2 linked regions of the Tribolium castaneum genome follow. Each later gene encodes a partner of the first gene's protein in a complex. Links are inferred from orthologs where the notes say so. Each region holds a gene or a part of one and is shown on either strand. Other genes may lie near its edges.

Region 1 (8,844 bases):
AATAAATGTGGGATAACAGACCGAAGCTAATCCGAGGACATCAGGTAAAACCACTTCTGCAAAAGCCACTAAATTTGCTACCGTAATAGCTGTCTCCCCATGCGTGGTTAGTGAGTCGGTCGTGTTTCAGCAACCACCTTTCCCCGCCATCCAATAACATGCAAATGTATGTAAAACAGCCATCAAATTACATAACACCGAATCATAGGACGTTTTAACATCACTTCTTGTGCAGCGCGTCGTATGTAACATTACAGGGTAGCTTATAACCGCCATCTAATTGCGTTACTTCTATTCCAAAACCCACATTTCCGCGGAGCGAACAGCACAATGTATTTATTTTCTTTATCTTCAAAGCGTTGTCGCTGATTTGCTTTTATAGAATTAATTACAACGTTAAAATTGTTGATCCACCAGATAACGCGTGTTGGAATGCTTGTACTTTCAAAAATCTCCACGCCATATCTGTTTATTACGAGCTAGAGATATGGATTAAAATGTTTTAAAGTTTTTCGGCTGAGCTTAGAGGCAATTTAAGTTGTTTAATTACCCCGACTGCCAGAATGATTTTATAAACCCTTTGTTTAAGAGATGTGCTTTTCTTAAATCTATTCGGATAGATTTGAGCTTACAAAGCCGATTATTTCGAACTTTGTCTATCTGGAAATAAACAGTTGTCTATCTTAGAGTTTGTTATATGCAAGTTAAATCTTGGATTGTGATGTTAAGTTGGATTGTGTTATTGTTGGATCTGCTTTGATAAAGTTGTTGAAGGTTGTATTTTGCAATAACCGAGTTTGTTGTTGTTCTTTTAGTGCCTCCGGATATCCTGGACTACCCTACGAGCACCGATATGGTGGTGCGTGAGGGATCCAACGTGAATCTTCGCTGTGTTGCCAATGGATCACCAGAACCTTCAATCAACTGGAGACGAGAAACCGGAGAGCCCCTCAAATTGTTAACGGGAGAAGAAGGTGATTACAAATTATAGCGAAAAGTCTGAACTAGACGTAGACATGATGAATGAGTAAATCGATTGTATTGTTATATTTTTGCGTTGTAAAGTGACGTTAACGAATCATGAAAAGGTTGAAAACTAAATTACAGTGCAGCGGGGAAAGTGGCTTAGCTGCATGTCTCGCTTTGGTTAATCGATTGGTTAATCATGGAGTATCCAATGGCTTGGTTATGAGAGCATGAAGGCATGAGTGTATTTTTCACACAATTACTAATTAATGAAAGTTCTCGGTAGGGTAGCTCCCGAATTCGGCGCCGCTTCCAGCGCGCATAAAGTCTAATATGTATAACGTTAAAAAATTGGAAACGGCTCGTGAAAAATGAATTCGCTCGTTATCTGCCCTGCTTTCTGGGTGTGTACCTATCGAGATATTAATCTCAAGTGCGGTGTATTGGGTGTGAAATTTCCGAAATTGCCTGAGTTCGGAATAAAGTTGCCATTGTTGAAAACATCGAAAGTTGAGCGGATCAAGTTCCGTCAAGAAAAATACACGTGAAGTGAGAGCAAGTGCGATTGTCACGCAAGAAAAGTCGAAGCCGAGTTTATCGAAAACTCGTAATAAAAATATGTAAATTTAGCAAGAGGCATAATGCAAGTATTTAGAAGTCACGTTAAATGACGAGGAAAAACGTGACGGAAAGTTCTGTTGAAAATTCAGAAGACACTTCGCTACTCTTCCATTGATTCACGCCGTTTGCAAACAAAAAAAGAACCATTCTTTATGCTCGGTCTCAAATGAATAATTAATTTCCATCATTCTTGCCTGGTTTGGGAGGCTTGCGCAGAAATCATATCGAGCCGAGATTTATCTCAGTCAGAAGCGGCTTTTCACGTTAATTGAAGGTCCTTCAGAAGCGCAGCAAAGCACACATCGCAAGAAGACACGTAATCGCCTAATGCGATAGCACAACCTGCCGCCAAAAGTGGCACAATCTTCTGAATAAATATACAAACTGCAGCGAAAAATATTTTGCTCGAAAATTTATCATTGCTTCAAAACGAGATCTCCAACGTGTCTTAACTACAAAACGGCCGGCATTACTCATGCCTTTGCCAACTTTACCTGCGGAATGTGTTAAACTTTGTGATGGGCGTGTAAACAACGTTACTCAATTTGCCTAATTATCTCATTTGCCATGTCTCTAAACAAAATCTTACCTAGGAAAGCAATACTTTTTTCAAATGACATAAAGTAAGTTTCATTCAGGGCTTTCCTCCTCTTGTTTTTGTAGTGCATTGACATTTCCTTTTATACGAAATTAAAATGTTACACAACATATAACATACATTCTAACTTTAACCTTTAGAAAAACGTATGCAGAACCTTGCGGTTAATTTAAAATGTCGCGAATATTAAACCCACTACCGCGATGTGTTCTTATTGTTTGTTTTTACAGAAGCAAACATACTTTTTATAACAAATAAATACTGACTTAAATGTTGTGATAAGATTCCTCGATTTAATTAAATTTGTAAGTCATAAAATTTTTAGTTGTAACATCAGTAAAACAATTTAAACATAATATCACAGATATATTGCTATTTTCTAGCAATATCCATCGCTTGATAGTGAATTTTGGAGCAGAAAAGAAGTTAAAAGGAGTATTGAAATTTTCTACCAAAAAACGAGAAATAATGACTATAATGACACGGAAAAATTGACAGCATAAATAGTTGAAAATGTTTTTTGTAATTTTCCGCCATTTTGATTCTTTAATAGGCATCTTAAAGCACTCATCGTCATCAAGTGCGATGTCATAATAGTCATTATTTGACAAAACAGTTTAGAAAAAATTTTAAACATTAAAAAAAATTATTTCTTTTTAAAATAATTTTTCGGGAGCGCGTCTTATGTTGTGTTATGTTATGCAAGATTGAACAAAATCTGAAAGAAACGGAAATAGTATCTACGAAGGTGCTTACTTACTGTACGTAACAATCTTTCATACCAATGGATCTTTAAATTTTAAATGTAATAATATGCAATTTTGGTGGAGGCGCCGGGTCAAAAGTCGGAACAAATTTATTATTTAACTCGCTAATTTTTCACAATTTGCGTTTTTGTGTTCACAGTGCCAAGTGTCGACGGTCCTGTGTTGAACATCAGTCGCGTGAGTCGGCAACAAATGGGGCCTTACCTGTGCATCGCCTCAAACGGCATTCCTCCATCAGTCAGCAAGCGCATCATGCTCATCGTGCATTGTAAGCAGTTTGAAGCGTTCACCGGTCCATTCTCATCAGATCTTTTCCAGTTCCTCCAATGATCTGGATTCAGAATCAGCTAGTGGGAGCATACGAGGGACAACAGATAACACTCGAATGCCACTCGGAGGCTTTTCCGAAGTCTATTAACTACTGGACCACTGATAAAGGCGAAATCGTTCCGCAAAGTTAGTACTTTTTTATTATTTCGCTGTGTAAAAGGAAAACGTGTTGCTTTTTAGATAAGTTTCTCGGACAGGTCTGACCGTTGGTTTGTTAAGAGCTAAAAGCACGATCACAACTTCCGTCTATGGATTTCACAATTTTTTTCTCGTCCTTTATTGTATTATTGTCTTTTCTTTTTCTCTCTTTTTTTTAATTACGCTGCCGGTTTTACCCTCATTTTCGGGTTTTGTCTCCGGATTTTTATTACTCTTTTTATTAACGAGCCCAATGACTTCACATTAATTTTGGCCTCTCGGGGGCTCATAATTTTATCAATTCGATACAACACAGCCGACGTAAAATATCACACTTGTGGTCCCACTGTAATTAAAATATACTACCTACCACTTGTTAGATTTTTTAATAACAAATCAAACAAGTTTTCGTTGCTTCTCCATAGACAGCGATTTCAAAAGGGTGCTCTGTCTTTGTTATAGTGATGTTTCTGGTTGCTACATATTTAGAAATAATTTGGACAGATTTACGATCCCGCTTCGCTATAAACCCTCATTTGTTGTCATGAAACAAAAAATATTTTGTTCGATAAATATGTGCCAAGTGGCGGCAATAGCTCTTGCGTGAACCTTACATTCGCAAGTATCAGTAACAATAACGTGGCAAATTGGCCGTCAATCGATGTAATACGGTAGTGACGCAATTGAGTCAATATTTTTCATGCTGAAAATTCCGGTATTATAAATTATAATCCAGATTTTATACCCGATATAAACCGTAAATTATTCCGTATTTTCAGGTGGAAAATACGAACCATCGTACTCGACGAACGGCTACAAGATCCACATGAAACTGACCATACGGTCGATAACTCCGCAGGACTACGGGAATTACAAGTGTGTATCGAAAAACTCTTTAGGCGATACGGACGGAACGATACAAGTTTTCGGTAAGTTGATTACGCTGATATTTCGAAATGAATTTTAAATGATTAGGCGAAGAATGAACCCAAAGGGGAAACTTATTCTTAGTCTCGTTTGAAATATTTCAACTTTGACTAGCGAACCGGGGAATCGCGTTTTATGCATCAAATACTACACTAAAGTCTTCTTTGATAAATACAAATCTGTATTGCTAATTACACACTTACTTGTAAAAATGACTCGAAGCACTACACTTCAGGACTTAATCTTTGATTTAAAACAGTATGGAAACTAGAGCGAGTTTTATTTTCAATTTGCAAACGTGCTGATTCATGTTTTGTTGCTAAATTTGCAGTTGAAGTCAGACTGGCGGAAAATAGTGGAAATTGTTGGCAAATACTTGCTCTAATTATTGCGTGATTGAATTAATCTATTAAATCCCCGTGGTTTGAGAGATTTTGTTTTATCTTTCACTGATCAAGATTGATTCAAACGCGTTGGTGATTTTACTTTAGTCAAATTTAATTTCGAATTTTATCGCCATTTATTGCAGAAAAAACACGATAGTGTAATTGCGATGTGGGTTTAATCAGATTAGTATGCTGTAATATTGGCGATAAAAATTTTATTGGGAAAATTTTCGGTGTTAATGCTGTCCATAAATGTAGAAGCGTCATATTTCGTATGATTGAGGAATGTTAACTGGAGTCTATATTTTTTACAGCCATACCTAAGCCATCAAAACTTTCGAATGGTTTATCAAGGAAAGGTGAGTTCGTAACATTTAACCCCGAAAGTTGGAAGGTACGTGACGTAATTTATAAAACTAACCCGGCTCTCTGTGTCGGTAATTTATCGTGCGGTGATGCGTATTTATGTTCCATACGTCCAACGTTTCCTCGATTAATTAACCGAGTTATTAATAATGAGTGAATAAATTGCGCCGAGGCGTGTAAAATCCGTCCAAGATCCGGCTTTAAGAAATCTCGGTTTAAAGTTCGCGCCGACTCTTGATTAATATACAAAAGCTCAGCATGGCGCAGACTGTCACGATTAACAAGCACGATTCCGCACTTCCCAGTCACTTACCAGCGAATTTAGGTGGAAACGTCATGTTAACATGCAATTTCATAATTTATTTCACTTACAAATCAACGCCGGTTACGTTTTATAAATTATATATTAGGACGGGATCGTTATTAATTTTCGCCGTTATGTTACCACAGGCAAACTTAAAAAGAAACCCAACGACGTCATCGGAGAACTGGAAAATATCGCCGACGGTGAGTAATCAATTGCTCTAGAAAATTATTCATATTGCAATGAATATTTCGTGGATCTTACGAACTTGCTTGTGGTCCCTTACGTATACACGGGAATGACCATAAATAATAGATCGGCCCCGACCACAAACCGACGATTTTCGCGTTATGGTGCGCCGCAAAACCACACTCTTTTATCCGACAAAGTAAAAAAACTCGAGATTACAAGCTTACCCCGTTCACGATTTTATCACATAATGCTTGTTTACAGACATCGAGGATAATACTTTGAGTTACAGTTGTAAAAGACCCCCTCTTCATGTTAAATTTTTAGCAGGAAAAGATAGCTCTTTCGAGTTGATGTCTTAAATTATACAAGACCGCCGACAGTTCAGTCAATTATTTGAAATATCCAGCTTTTGATCGAAGCAATTTCTACGAAGAGACATTTTTCAAAACTTTACTTTAGCATAAAACAGTGTTTTTTACAAAAAAATTTATTACCTAGTAAACGCTACCAAAGGAAATTTATTTATACTGCGCAATATTTACCTTCCGAGACAATTTTATGAATATTAAATTTTTTGTGAAACTGATAAAAACAAATCATTACTACGTCGCAAAAAATATAAATTGTGCATCATTTTAACGCAGTTTTGTTACACCAAACCAAGCGATTAAACAAACTGAAATAATCTGTGATTCTTTTAGAAAACATCGCGAAGCGTCACGCTGTAAATGCAACTGAATTTATCACTTGAAATCTCACTTTAAATTTGAACCCTTCAGCGAATGTTTCGCTAATAGGTGTTTTCCTACTTCTAGCTCGGTTCTTCACAACGTTGCATTCTATTAAAGCAAACTTGCAGCGAATTTCTTGTTTCCGTATCTAATTTTAGTAAAGCGGTAGACTGCATCACCAGTTTTTGTAACCATTCAAATGATCTACAACCAGACGTTCGCAGTAAGCAATTAAAACAGTAATATTGCGGTATTACACTTTTAATATTGTCAATTTATAGTTTTCTGTCTTGGAAACAATAAAGGTGCTTGCAGTCGTTGTCTGTAAACATTAATAGCCACCATCTGCAAATATACAAGTTGGAACTACACTTGCGAACAAGTTTACGATTCAAAGCAACTTTGCACATCGCAAGGATAACAACGATTCTTATCTTTTTATCAAAACTCCTGCAACAAGACGGAGTAATATTTTCCCGGCTTTCTATATAATTAAAGCTTGTTGTTCGCATTCATAAATTTTTTCCCGTCCTTTTTGGCTGTTTTCCTCTCAATCCAAGCATCGAAGCTTGATGATTTATGGGAGCATTGGAGCACATGTCTTTTAATATCTGTCGCGTAAGCCCCGAGATTGATTCGAAATCAAAGCCAGCCCATTACTCCTGTTTCCGCGATCATGTTCAGCCAAAATTTCAGTTTTAATAAAAAAAAACGCGCGAAGAGCTGTTTCAGATCGTTCCGAGTAATTTAGCGGCAACAAGGGATGATTGATTGCAATGCGCACTTGCTTAAGCATGGAGCACACATTAATAATTTAATAATTATTCCAAGACAATGTGTCCTTGATTGGTGATGTGTGAGGACGTGTCGTGATTGAAATTAAGCTGTCGGGTTTGTTTCAGGGTTGGACGACCAACCGGATTCCTTGTTCCAAGAAGAGGAGTACGGTTCCGGGGAACGTGCAAAAACCGGACTTATCTTCGTAGCTTTTTTAGTCGCGCTGCCTTTGGTCCTACAATAAATCTTACTCATGTTGTGCTGTGTACAAGAGAAATCTCAAGATTAACGCTGAAACAAGATGTGTTGTTCAGACGATGAATTTCTCTTCCTTAACTATTTTTTATATGCTTCCCTCGCTACAAGTGGTTTTAGTGATAAGGTCCATTTGGGGCACATGTGGCCGGAATCATTGTTTTTTTTTCTCGCATATATCATACACATTTGTCAGACAGTGCGAATGTCTGTTAGTGGCTGCGACTGATAACTGTATTCTTTGTAAGGTAATTAGTAAGCAATAGCGCTTTAGAAATAAAATTATTGGCAGTATGTATAATAATAGGTGGATTGAATGCAGTCAGGGCCCCATAAATATGGATTACAAGCGACATGCAAGTACTTAGTGTAGCAAAGTTATGCACATACTAATGATAAAACGAATTTTGACAAAGGCCAATCACTGGCCACAAACCTGGTCTCTCGTTGAGCTTCTCGTGGCTATAGATTCTGTCTCTGTGTTTAAATAAAAACAAATTTAGTGTTCAAGAGTCTGAAAGTCGATATGCATATCCTCAATCAACCGAGTCAAATGTTTCTTCCTATTTAGGTTGTTTATTCTCTTTGTGTATAAATAACGAGTATGTGAATAGCCGTATCATTCCATTTTGTATTGTGAAAAACTTGCTACTAAAATAAAATAGTTTTCTAAAGAGTCGTTTTATTTTCATCCAATTTATATTCCGCCCTTGCAATTTATCTATAATCTTGCTGCGGTTTGATTGTTTAGCGTCAGTTTTAATGGACCGCACAATAAACCGATTTATATGTATAGGTTTAAAAGGCAGGATAAATTTCATTAGCACTCCCGGAAATGCAGCACTTAGAATCCTTGGCACGCGTATTCGAAGGAACATAACGATTTGGCAAGCATCCCTTAGTAATATCGGTAAAAGTTTTGGTTTATTTTGAGTCGACTGTTGATCGTGTTCAACACCCGAAATGTCACTGTAATTATAAGGGAACACAAAAGGTACATTCGTGCAGATTTAGTTTTTGTCATCTACATTACAAAAGGTATTATCGCAATGAGGTGCCGCGCTGTTATTTCGAATCGTTAGATGTTATCACATCAAAACGTGTAGGTTGTTTCCGGGCGTTATTGTCAAAATACATGTCGTCGGCGACGTCTTTATCTCAAAGAAAATATTTTATTAATATGCTAAATCGAGCTGCGCTCGACACAATTTAGCGATTCCTCCTATTTTACAAAGGCGTTTCGAACAATATCGTAGCAGAAAAACGCCACGATTAAAAGGAGCGTGAAATTTATCGTCAAATATACAAAACGGGCGGATTTAGAAATTTTGTGGAAAAACTACCCAAAAAGCGGTGTAATTTACTCCTCGATCTTTTTTATTGAATTCGGGAGCACGCAAAAATGTGGTTTCCTAATCTGTTCGTAGAAAACCTGACTTATTAATTACTATCGATTTCTATTCTACCGTATAATTTTGACGGAATC
Region 2 (10,015 bases), on another chromosome or scaffold:
CAACGATTAAGAGATAAAACTGTCCTTGCATTAAATTTTGCATTTTGTAATTTGGGGTGAATGCTTCAAAACAAAAAATAAATTAAATTTAGTTATCTAGTACTAAAATAGTAATGTCGTTTTTCATTAAATGCAGTCTCATGACAACTGCATAAAATCCTCCACCACTATGTGAAATACAACTTCCAAAACTTTGTAAAACTACGATAACGTTGAAAGTTTACGATTTTATCCGTATAGATCAGAGGTAATTGCATTTGATAGTTAAAGACTAACGATGGCTTAAATCTCCTCTATTTTAAGTACAAAGTTTAGTCGAACATGCCTATCCTAAAAAAAGTTTATTCAGTTAATGGATTTTGATGGCGTTATAGTTAAATAAAACCAAATGCATTTTCTGTAACTACTTCTTTGCTAAACCAATTTTAACCACAAATATAAAGTGCTCTTACCAACTCATTGTTAGGAAAAATGTAAAGAAATAGAAAAATATACTTTACTTTAGAAGCGGTAATTTTAATGGACACGAATTTATTAAATTTTTTGTTTGCTTTAAACCATTATTATTGCATAATTTATGTACAGTCTCTTGAAAACGTAATCGATAATCAATAAATAACATTCAGACTGAGCATTGATGAATATCTTCAAATTTTTATAACACCAATATATTTAATTAATCATCAATAAATTTATGAGCACCACCTGAAAATACCTATACTTAACCGCTGATTATATGTACATAATAATAGACCATCTATCAAGAAAAATTAATTATTTGTAACAGTGGTGACATCATAAGAATGAAACTTACATCGTTATAAGGTTCTAACTACGGAGACCAATTTATTTGATGAGAGATCTACCAATTTGAGAACAAATGCGTTCTCTGAGCTTCAAACAGGACAGAAATTAGGTCATTATTCGTTTAATTTGGTTACAAACACAAAAATTTGCGATAGAAAATAATTTTTGTGGTTGATTTTAATAATCTGAGTTTATTATAAGACAAATACATGTGTATTTATATAAATGTACAGGATGAGTCAATAGTGGGTTATTTCTATGTTCTAAGATGCAACCAAAAATACTAATTGCACTTTCCTCTTGAATACTTTGTTTGATTTTTAAAACATTAGTTGAATCAACATTGTTTTCTTATTTTTTAAATAATAATGACAATATTTTTATTCTCGTGTCATATTCTAAATGTGAGCGAATATTTTCCCTTCTAGGAAGCAGATAAATAGAAAATTCTGCTACAATTTTGTATTTTAAAAGCCGTCGGTGTATTTATTTGGCACCTACGCCTGTACGCGTGTATTGGAGGGTGCGAGGAAAAGTCAGCGAGAGATCTGCGTTTATCGACAGACACGACGATGTAAAATTGAAATACTAATTGACATCGTTTTGTTGTGCAAAGCAGGAGGCGCTTGTACAAAGGCTCACACCAGCTTGCAATTCTTTGTATTCGTGCTTCCTCATATGCAATTGTTCATACTGAGAGAATCTCAGACAAGACGTTTTCCAATTAAGTGAATTTTAAAAGAAACTGAATAAAAGTTTTGACAGTTTTCAAACCTGGTCAATCAAGTACGAAGCCAACGTAAGTTGAATGCAGCATTTTGCAAATGAAAGAACTCTCAGACTGGGTAATTGATATCGCGTTTTCGCCTCACCCTTTCCAATTTTAAGTCTTCGCCAACACATTTCTCTTTGTGATATAAATACCGGAGAATTTTAAAAATAAAATAAAAGTGAAAGCCCTCCATTTATTTGTAATATTTATATTTCGTTGGTAATGTCTCAAAAGAACTTCGAGTCATTTTAAATTACGTCACCCTGATTGTTTTGTGTCACCTAAGACCGGGTCTCCCCTACGGTTAATTTATGCCGCTATGGCACCATCACGTCTCCTTTCTGCTTAATGTCGTATTAAGGTTAATTAGCGATCATCCGACTCCAAATTTTAGCACAAAATTGTTATAAACGATGTGGCGACGAATTATGTAATTACAATTTTCAACATTACAGAGGGATAATCACCTCAATGTTATATGCAACAATACGTATTATATCGTAATAATTTATCGTATGGTGTTGTCACGCCAAAATTGCACTTTACTGGAACAAACTGTCATTTTTCTCAGTCCAGGGTTTATTAAATGATGTTGAAGAAAGTTGGTAATTAACAAGGATGTATCAAGTAGAGTACAAATTTTCGAGAACTTCTCAATTTGATCGATCATCACCATTAACCTAATTATATTCTCTTCTCATCAATGATGATCGATTGGATAGCTGGCTTATACATTATTAATTACAAGAAGGCTATTGAGTTTCCATCTCTTCTCATAATCTAAGGTTACGTACAGGAAATTATCCAACCTTGCACTTAACTGATCTTGAATAATTTATCACAATTTTTGAGTTCAAGAATATTAAAAATATTACGCTTTGTTTGTTACCTAATAGCAATTTGTTTTCACATTAAATATTTGAACATACAGTATCTCATGTTTCTTGGCAAAATTTCGAGTCAAAAAATATTTTCCTTTAAAGACTCGTATTACAAACACAAATAACGCGCCTTCCTTTCGTGTAAACAATTTTTTTTTTAAGAAATAATTTACAAAAAAATTAATTACGTTTTTAATTAATTGTTTAAACCAGATTGTTTTTGTTCCTGCCTATTCGCTGTTTATTGTAATGTTAATTATCGCACACAATACGGATGCAGTTGTGCTGGTAAAGAAAACATCGAGTTGGAAATTTGGAGAGTATTAAATTTCTGTGAATAATTAAGTGTATTTTTCTTTGACGTTTGAACAATAAGACGGCAGGAAATTCTCTCCCGAGGTGTCCCGGATAATTTTTGCATAATTTTCCTTGAACTTTTAATTAGAAAACACCTGAAACGCCTATTAGAGCCGATGCCGTTCATAGTGTAGTCGAGTCTCCAGCACCCACAAGAGACCCTTTTATTTAAATGTGCGTCCATATCAGCAATCTTGTTAAAATAAATTGACGCAGAACGTGAATCCATTGTACGCGAATCGAAAATTTGATTACGGCCCGAAATCCGTCATTCTAAGTAATAACAGAAAGATTCTTGTATCGAATTTTCGCGTCAACATAAAACTCTCGAAATGGTCGTCGAAGTTAAATTGCGACAATTTTTTTACGGTCTGTCCCTCCAATTACTCAGGGGTTGAGTTGCATTTAAACGAAATTAAAATCGATTCGGGGGCTTCGAGTCGCTACTTATGTCAAGAAGGGTAACAGTTGTAAAGCTCTCGAAAACCTGGAAGTACCGCTTATCTGGGAGGTGGCCACCGGCGCGATAGCCCCGACTTGTCAAAGGCTCTGTGATAAGAAAGGGACGATTTACAAGTGGAGTGGATCCCAGGAACTGTCCATCAATATCGAATCTGTGTTATCAGCGATGACTATAATCATAATAGAATTAAAGGGACGGACGCAGGCGCCGGAGTTTGACCGGGTTTTGCGGCGTCGAGGCGCCACTCGTTCCCTGAAGGTCTTTCTCTACACTTCGCGGCATGTTTGCAATCCGCAACCCGCGCACTCGAACTCCGCCTGATAAGCGCGCTAATTGCCACCATTAAACTCCTTTATCAAAAGCAACTTCATCCAAAAAATAGAAGACTGTAGATTTAACGTAATAACCGTTAGTTGTAATCATCTATGGTGTAGCTAGTTTAGTGAACTCCTGTGATTTTAATTCCCCAGTGCAGTGTTAGTGTCTCTTGGTGCACAATCTCGAATTAAAAGTAGATTATTCGGATGATCGCAAGCGCTCGAAGAAATAATCGGATAGAAAATGACACACTGGTGAGAGACTCGGCGATAATGGTAACAAATTACAGTGCTGGTGGTAATGTTGAAGGACCCCTCTAAGCGCAATGGAGAACGCACGAGAACTTTTGTTCTTAGGCCTTTTGTTTGTAGCTTGCGTGGGTAAGTTGCACCGACCTTCCCTTCACTTTTCCATTGTAGCGTTATGATGTTTTCTGGCAGAGCGTCGATTGTGGGCGCCGATACCGAATTTAAAGCAATTACGGGCGAGATATCATCGATTTTTCCACATACCGGGGATTAATCTCTGACTAGCAGCCGAGTTAAATAAATATTTCAGATATTTCTTCATCTGCAAATATTATGCAAATCAGAATCAATCAAATATTCCGGAGTTCTTTTGCTGGAACGTTTCTCAAATATCGAATTCTCGATATAGATGTAAAACGCTCAAATAAAAGCGATTCCACTTGCTCTCTAATTTATGGTCGCCCTAATCCAATTTATTTACTAATGCTTCGTATTTCACCCGCTGCACTTAAGTCGCGTAATGAGATTTTGGATTTTCTATAACGCGTTCTTTCTCGTTTTGCGTTTTTTGTGAAATATGCTTTATTTTACACGTATGAATGACAGAAGGGAAGAATTGGTTGCATTAGGGAAAGCGTGAATGTTCCATTAGTGTTATTAAAGATGTGGTTAGTCGGTAAAATGGCAATGCCGGAATGCTAAGACAAGTTGCAATTGCTGTACATAATGTTGACTAAGCTTTCCCAGAAATGCTGTTCATTTGCTAAATAGAGCGCATACCTTCCTGGATCACTTAGCCTCCTACTCTCAAAAATAGAATTTTGCAAAGTTTCCTTGCACTTAAAATGGTGCGAATAAAGTTATAAGAACGTGAAAATCTGTTAAGAAGATGCGGTGTAATACACGGAAATGCTTTTTATTTTAACTGACAGAAGACGTAGCTGGTAAGTCAGACTTGAAATTGTTATTAAATTTCCAAGAGTGGGTGGCCCAATTCAGTTTTTGCAGTTGACAAGTTTCTAATTGAAAAAAATTGAAAAATCGATAAGACGTTGCTCTCTTGGCCAGTTGAGATGAACATTTTTGCTAGTAATTTAACTTCGGTGCTTGTCATTATTAATTAAGTTGGAGAATGTTCCAGTTTCATAAAGTAAAGTTGTAATTACTTTTGTGGACGGTTGTAATTTAAGGTAATGAACAATTGTGCAGCTGTGTCAGGTGACCTGTTACGGCTTAAATTTGGGGCGAAACATTTGTAGTTGGTTTTATTTCCGTCATTCAGAACGGCTTTGATCGCGGCCATTTATCATACAAACAAGCAGTCGTTGAAGCAAGGACGAAGGGATATCTGACAGTCGGCCAGATTCCGATGAAAAATAGAGTTCGATATCGTCAAAACTGACCATTAAAAGTAAAAAGCTTCCAAGTTGACTTCGAGTTAACCGTGTGGAAAACACAAATAAAATTGTGTATTAGCAAGGTCATTCCGGCCTTTCAGACGGAAGTCGATCTTGTTTTTATGAAGGGTTGATCACGAAATGATAAATATAAAAACTTAATTTTATACGACGATAAAAATGTTTGTGCTACACTTAAGCGCTTATACACTCGGACTAATAACTCTTTTATTTCTTGTATTTTTGCTTGAAAAAGCACAATACGATTCGTGAGTGGTTTATTCAGTAATTTACAACACCTATACATCGGTATTTTGCTATAGATGGTCTTAATTTAGTTGATTTTCTCCGCATAATGCTTCAAGCGTCAAACTTTGTCTTTGAAGTCACATGCATGTGTTTCCAAGATCGAATATAATGTTAGTTTTAAACTAAAAGCTACACTTTAAATTGATTCCGCATCAACACCACGTTTATTAGAAATAACTAAGTTAACATATTGCTACATTTTGCGTGACCCGGTACACGAAGAAATTAATTGCGTTTAAAAATAACAAAATCTGAATATTTATGCAGCCGTAAAACTGCTTCTTTTTGCCGGTCGTTTTTCTAGCCTCATTCTTCGGCGTAAATGCGGTATTTCATGACCAAAAAGGACACTAAAATGCCGCCAAACTACTCTCGGCAACTCAAAGCGCTATGTAAAGGCTTTGTTAACGGTTTCACAGGACTGAACGTTTAGCATCGAGTTTTGGCTAATTTAAAAAGATTTATAATGAGGGCACAGGCAAATAGACTTTTAAATAGTTTTATCAAATCATGCAAATTAGGGAAGGGTAAATTTACTTTTCTGCCCTCGCAAGAATCAAGCCTTTAAAATTGCTTGTACTGATGGGGTCCCAAAAACCTGTGACCAAAGTAATGAAACACTAATGGTCACTAACGACTGCTGCTTTGACCCCAGCAACAACAGACGGTGCATCTGAAGATAACTTAATAGAACTGCTGAAAGCTTGTGGGGATATGGGAAGGGGATTTTCAGTTCGAATAGCAAAGGCGGATAATAGCTATGCTAATTTTTGGTTCGCTAATATTGATTTTGTTTATTCGCGCTAATTAAAAGTAATTAAACATAAAAGGTTTAAAGTGCTGGTGGTTACAACCATACTTACAGAAATTTCGGTTTTTACACGCAAAAAAATAAGCCTAGCTTATCATTAAAGCTTAATATTAAATTTTAATAAAACATAAATTTATAAAAATATTTTCTCGCATATGAGTTAAAATAGAAATGGGTCAATAAAGATGGAGATAAAATACACGACATGAAACTTTTACAGACTTGTATCAGAATTCACATAATATTGATCGTTTTTTAATAGAAGTAATAGCTGGGTATATCTATACGAGTGGTTCGAAAGATAGCAAATACGGTTTCGATAATACAAATTAATTTTGAAAACGTTTTATATTAAAATTATGAAATAAACTTCTCTCTTGTATTTCTGCTAAAAAAGTTTAATTATAAAACTTCTAAAACTGGATACGGTTTCGTCGGCAGTTTATAAAAGCTGCATAGTTCAACTATTATTATTACAATTTGTTGTAAAAATAATTAAAAAAATAATTAAAAAATTAACTAAAACTAAAAGTTGTAATAAGTAATAAAATTGGATTGATTTTCTAGGATTTTAATTATTACAGGTGAATAACATCTTTTTGTATATTGTATGGTGTGTGACATCAATTAATTTCCATTTTCTTGAAGAACCTCAGGTGACCTACTGACCGAACCGCGATAAAAAGTCAACAGAACTGAACTTTGAAATTCATCTTCCACGTTCCATCAATCTGGAAATTCATTTTCAAGTGCCATAGGCAGGCAGATGCCATTTCTTGCGTTTTGCGAAAATATTCTTGATCTTCGAGCCCATCTGGCAAATTAAATTTGTTATTTATTTTTTCAAATTTACGTTTGATATTGATCTGTTTTCGTTGAATATAAAACAAGAGTATCATTGCTTCCTCCCCTGGCTATTGTTTTCCTTGTAATTTCCACGCGGTATCAAAGCCCAACTGTCACGTCAGTAATATAAAAATTTTCCTTTATTTTGTCGATGGAGGGCGTACCACCATGAGGATTAATGACTCGTATAGAAGTTGACAAGTGTTCGACCTAGACAGTGTTCAAAGAGACGTCGCAGGATGGCACTTTGAAAATAATGCGGTCGGAGATGAATGAGTATCGAGGACGTGAATGTGAGTGAGCGACGGCGACGTCCGCTTCGATAGGCACTTCGGAGGTACGTCGCGACGCGCGGCGTCGCCCTCATAATACGTCACCTGCAGACGCAACAGACACTAGATGGCGTATCATCAAAACACCATTTGGCACACAACTGTATCATCAGCATCATTCACTCAATACAGAATGTTGCACGACAAATTAATCTTCGCTACAGAATATCTAATTTGCAGCGAATCGAGCATGGACATGGACGATGACTTATTCAAATTGTAATGACAACCTGCTGAAATCGATTATTCAGCCCATAGGACTGCCAACACGAACACACAGCCAATCGAAAATAAAATTTGCACAATATGCAATTAATTCCTTATTTACCAATGCAAATCCGGAAGGTAATTTTTGAGCAATCAAGGAGACGTAATACGATCGACAGTTGAAAAACTTATAATGATTCTCTTCAATTTACACAATGACATTTATATTCCTAATTAGATGCGCTCCAAACAATGTGTTAATGGAGGTTTCAATAAAACAAAACCAAATTAAAACCACTGTAAATTGCATAATTAGTAGTGGGTATAATATTAATGATACATTTGTTACAAATGTGTACAATAAAACAGTAATTCGCGATCGACAAATTCTGTTCAAATATTTCTGCACAAAATTATTTGCTTTAAATGTAAACAGCTAATAGAATTTTTTTAGCTTGTTGTACGGGTATGCAGTTTAGTTTTATAAAATTGGCTCCTAACTCAAGGCCAGATTACCATATCAAATTTAGAAATTGCTTGCTGTTTAACAAAATCGCATTTTTTAATATACTATTATTATTTGTATTTTTTAATTAATTCTACACACTAGTCGACGAAGTGATTTTGAAAATTTAGTCTATTTTGCTGCAGTTAACAATTGCAGTAGCAATTTTATTAATTTTAATGTTCACATTTTTGTACAAACTTTTTAATAAGCAATTAGTTGGTGCAATAACAGAACGTTATTTTTTGCAATTTCATACATATTGAAATATGCGAGTAAAGTTGAGAAGTATTTTACCTTTACCATTACTTTGTTTTTAGGTTCACATACATTTTAACTATTTATTTCAATTAAAAATAAAAAATTACAAGAGTGGAGGCAAACATAAATTTAAAAAAATAATCTGACAAAATTACACATTATTTCATAATGTCACTATAGTAAAATTAAGTCGTTGAACACAATGTACATTAAAGATATCACAGTTTTGTTAGGCGCAAATTTAAATTATTATTAAAATAATTTTTGTTCGATATTGCACAGTAAATTTCCTATTATGACTTCAAATCACCAACTTTTAAATAACTGTATTTAATAATTGTGTCAACTAACAATATTAGATCTTGTAAACCTCATGTCGCCTTTAATATTTCTTTTAGTAAAGAGTGTGCAGAGCACAAGAAATCTGGCTCATCTCGCCGGTCAAGCGCTCTGTTCTCAAGAAGTGCCATTACATATTTGCCGGAGGGAGGTTTGCGAAGAAGCAGCTCGTAAATAATCTCAAAATTTTTTATCTATGAAACAAATGATGGAAGAGACAAATTATAGGAAAGGTTTTTTCGCAAAATTTATGTTCCTCCGTTTACATAATTTATCACGCGTTTTCGCTAAATTCAAGCGGGTCTAGAAAATCTTTGGAAATTTAATAGTGTGTCACACATAATGGGGCTTATTAAAGCGAGCAAACGACGTTTGTTTCCCACACGTTGCTGAATTAGAATAATCGTTGAGGAAATTGTTAAATGCTGTCGGACAATTGCAATTAACAATTCGTGGCCGAAAGGCAAGCGGATAATTAATGTTAGATGAGTGTTGTGTCGTTAGTCGCGAGAAGAACATCTTGTCATAGTTGAACTTAAACCCTCGGTGTGACCTTATTTTAACGTATCAAACATTGAGGAATCCTTGCTCCAGCCTGAACCACATTGTTACTATTAATGAAGATCACAGATTACGAGGTCACCCGAATAAACTCAACAGACAGTCGGGATTAAAAGATAAAGGTTTTTCTGTCCCGAAAATTGATTGTTCGTATAATTAAACTGGTGGTTAATTTATTGGAGCGGGACAAATAAAACATTCTTTTGAATGATGATATATTGTTTGAGGCTGTATTTACAGCTACAGCGATAAACACATATTTACCGTACTAAACACATTCCGGGAATTTAAACTTTTGGGGAAAAATTTCAAACAATACGTTGTTTGACTAAACTGATATGCCCAGTGTTTAGTTGTATTTAATAACAAATAGAAACGTTGAAGCAAATTATTTTCTGGATCATTGTTGATTACGTTGTTCGGCCTATTGGCTCAGATAAAAGTGAATAAACCAATTTAGCATTCTTGTTAAAGTCATTTGACTATTACCGTTATTGAAATTTCATTTACGTTCAATATTTCGTGCATTAAAAACACAATACTGCGTCAAACATATTTAGCGTCACAAAAACAATGGCCATTAACTGTGTAATTTCAGTCA

What was found.
Region 2: the proteins of neurotrimin (region 1) and zwei Ig domain protein zig-8 are in contact, whole or in part, in a crystal structure (PDB 6NRW), measured with the Drosophila melanogaster proteins. The link is inferred for Tribolium castaneum from reciprocal best matches to the Drosophila melanogaster genes DIP-eta and dpr1. Residues at the interface, in NP_001188701.2 of Drosophila melanogaster: Tyr72, Lys73, Val74, Ala75, Leu77, Arg78, Val79, Thr81, Gln82, Thr83, Ile84, Ile87, Ile92, Thr93, Lys94, Asn95, Met124, Gln126, Ile127, Asn128, Thr129, Asp130, Met132; in NP_001286645.1 of Drosophila melanogaster: Asp82, Lys83, Ser86, Ile88, Lys90, Asp92, Leu93, His94, Ile95, Ala98, Tyr103, Thr104, Ser105, Asp106, Glu136, Gln138, Asn140, Glu142, Lys144.

The regions. Positions count from the first base shown.
Region 1 is NC_087397.1:7,948,639-7,957,482, reverse strand, and holds the end of neurotrimin, read left to right. Parts: intron 1-815; coding exon 816-974; intron 975-3,091; coding exon 3,092-3,220; intron 3,221-3,270; coding exon 3,271-3,408; intron 3,409-4,199; coding exon 4,200-4,349; intron 4,350-5,047; coding exon 5,048-5,092; intron 5,093-5,549; coding exon 5,550-5,606; intron 5,607-7,228; coding exon 7,229-7,347; 3' UTR 7,348-8,032; downstream 8,033-8,844.
Region 2 is NC_087396.1:12,587,747-12,597,761, reverse strand, and holds the start of zwei Ig domain protein zig-8, read left to right. Parts: upstream 1-3,511; 5' UTR 3,512-3,923; coding exon 3,924-3,978; intron 3,979-10,015.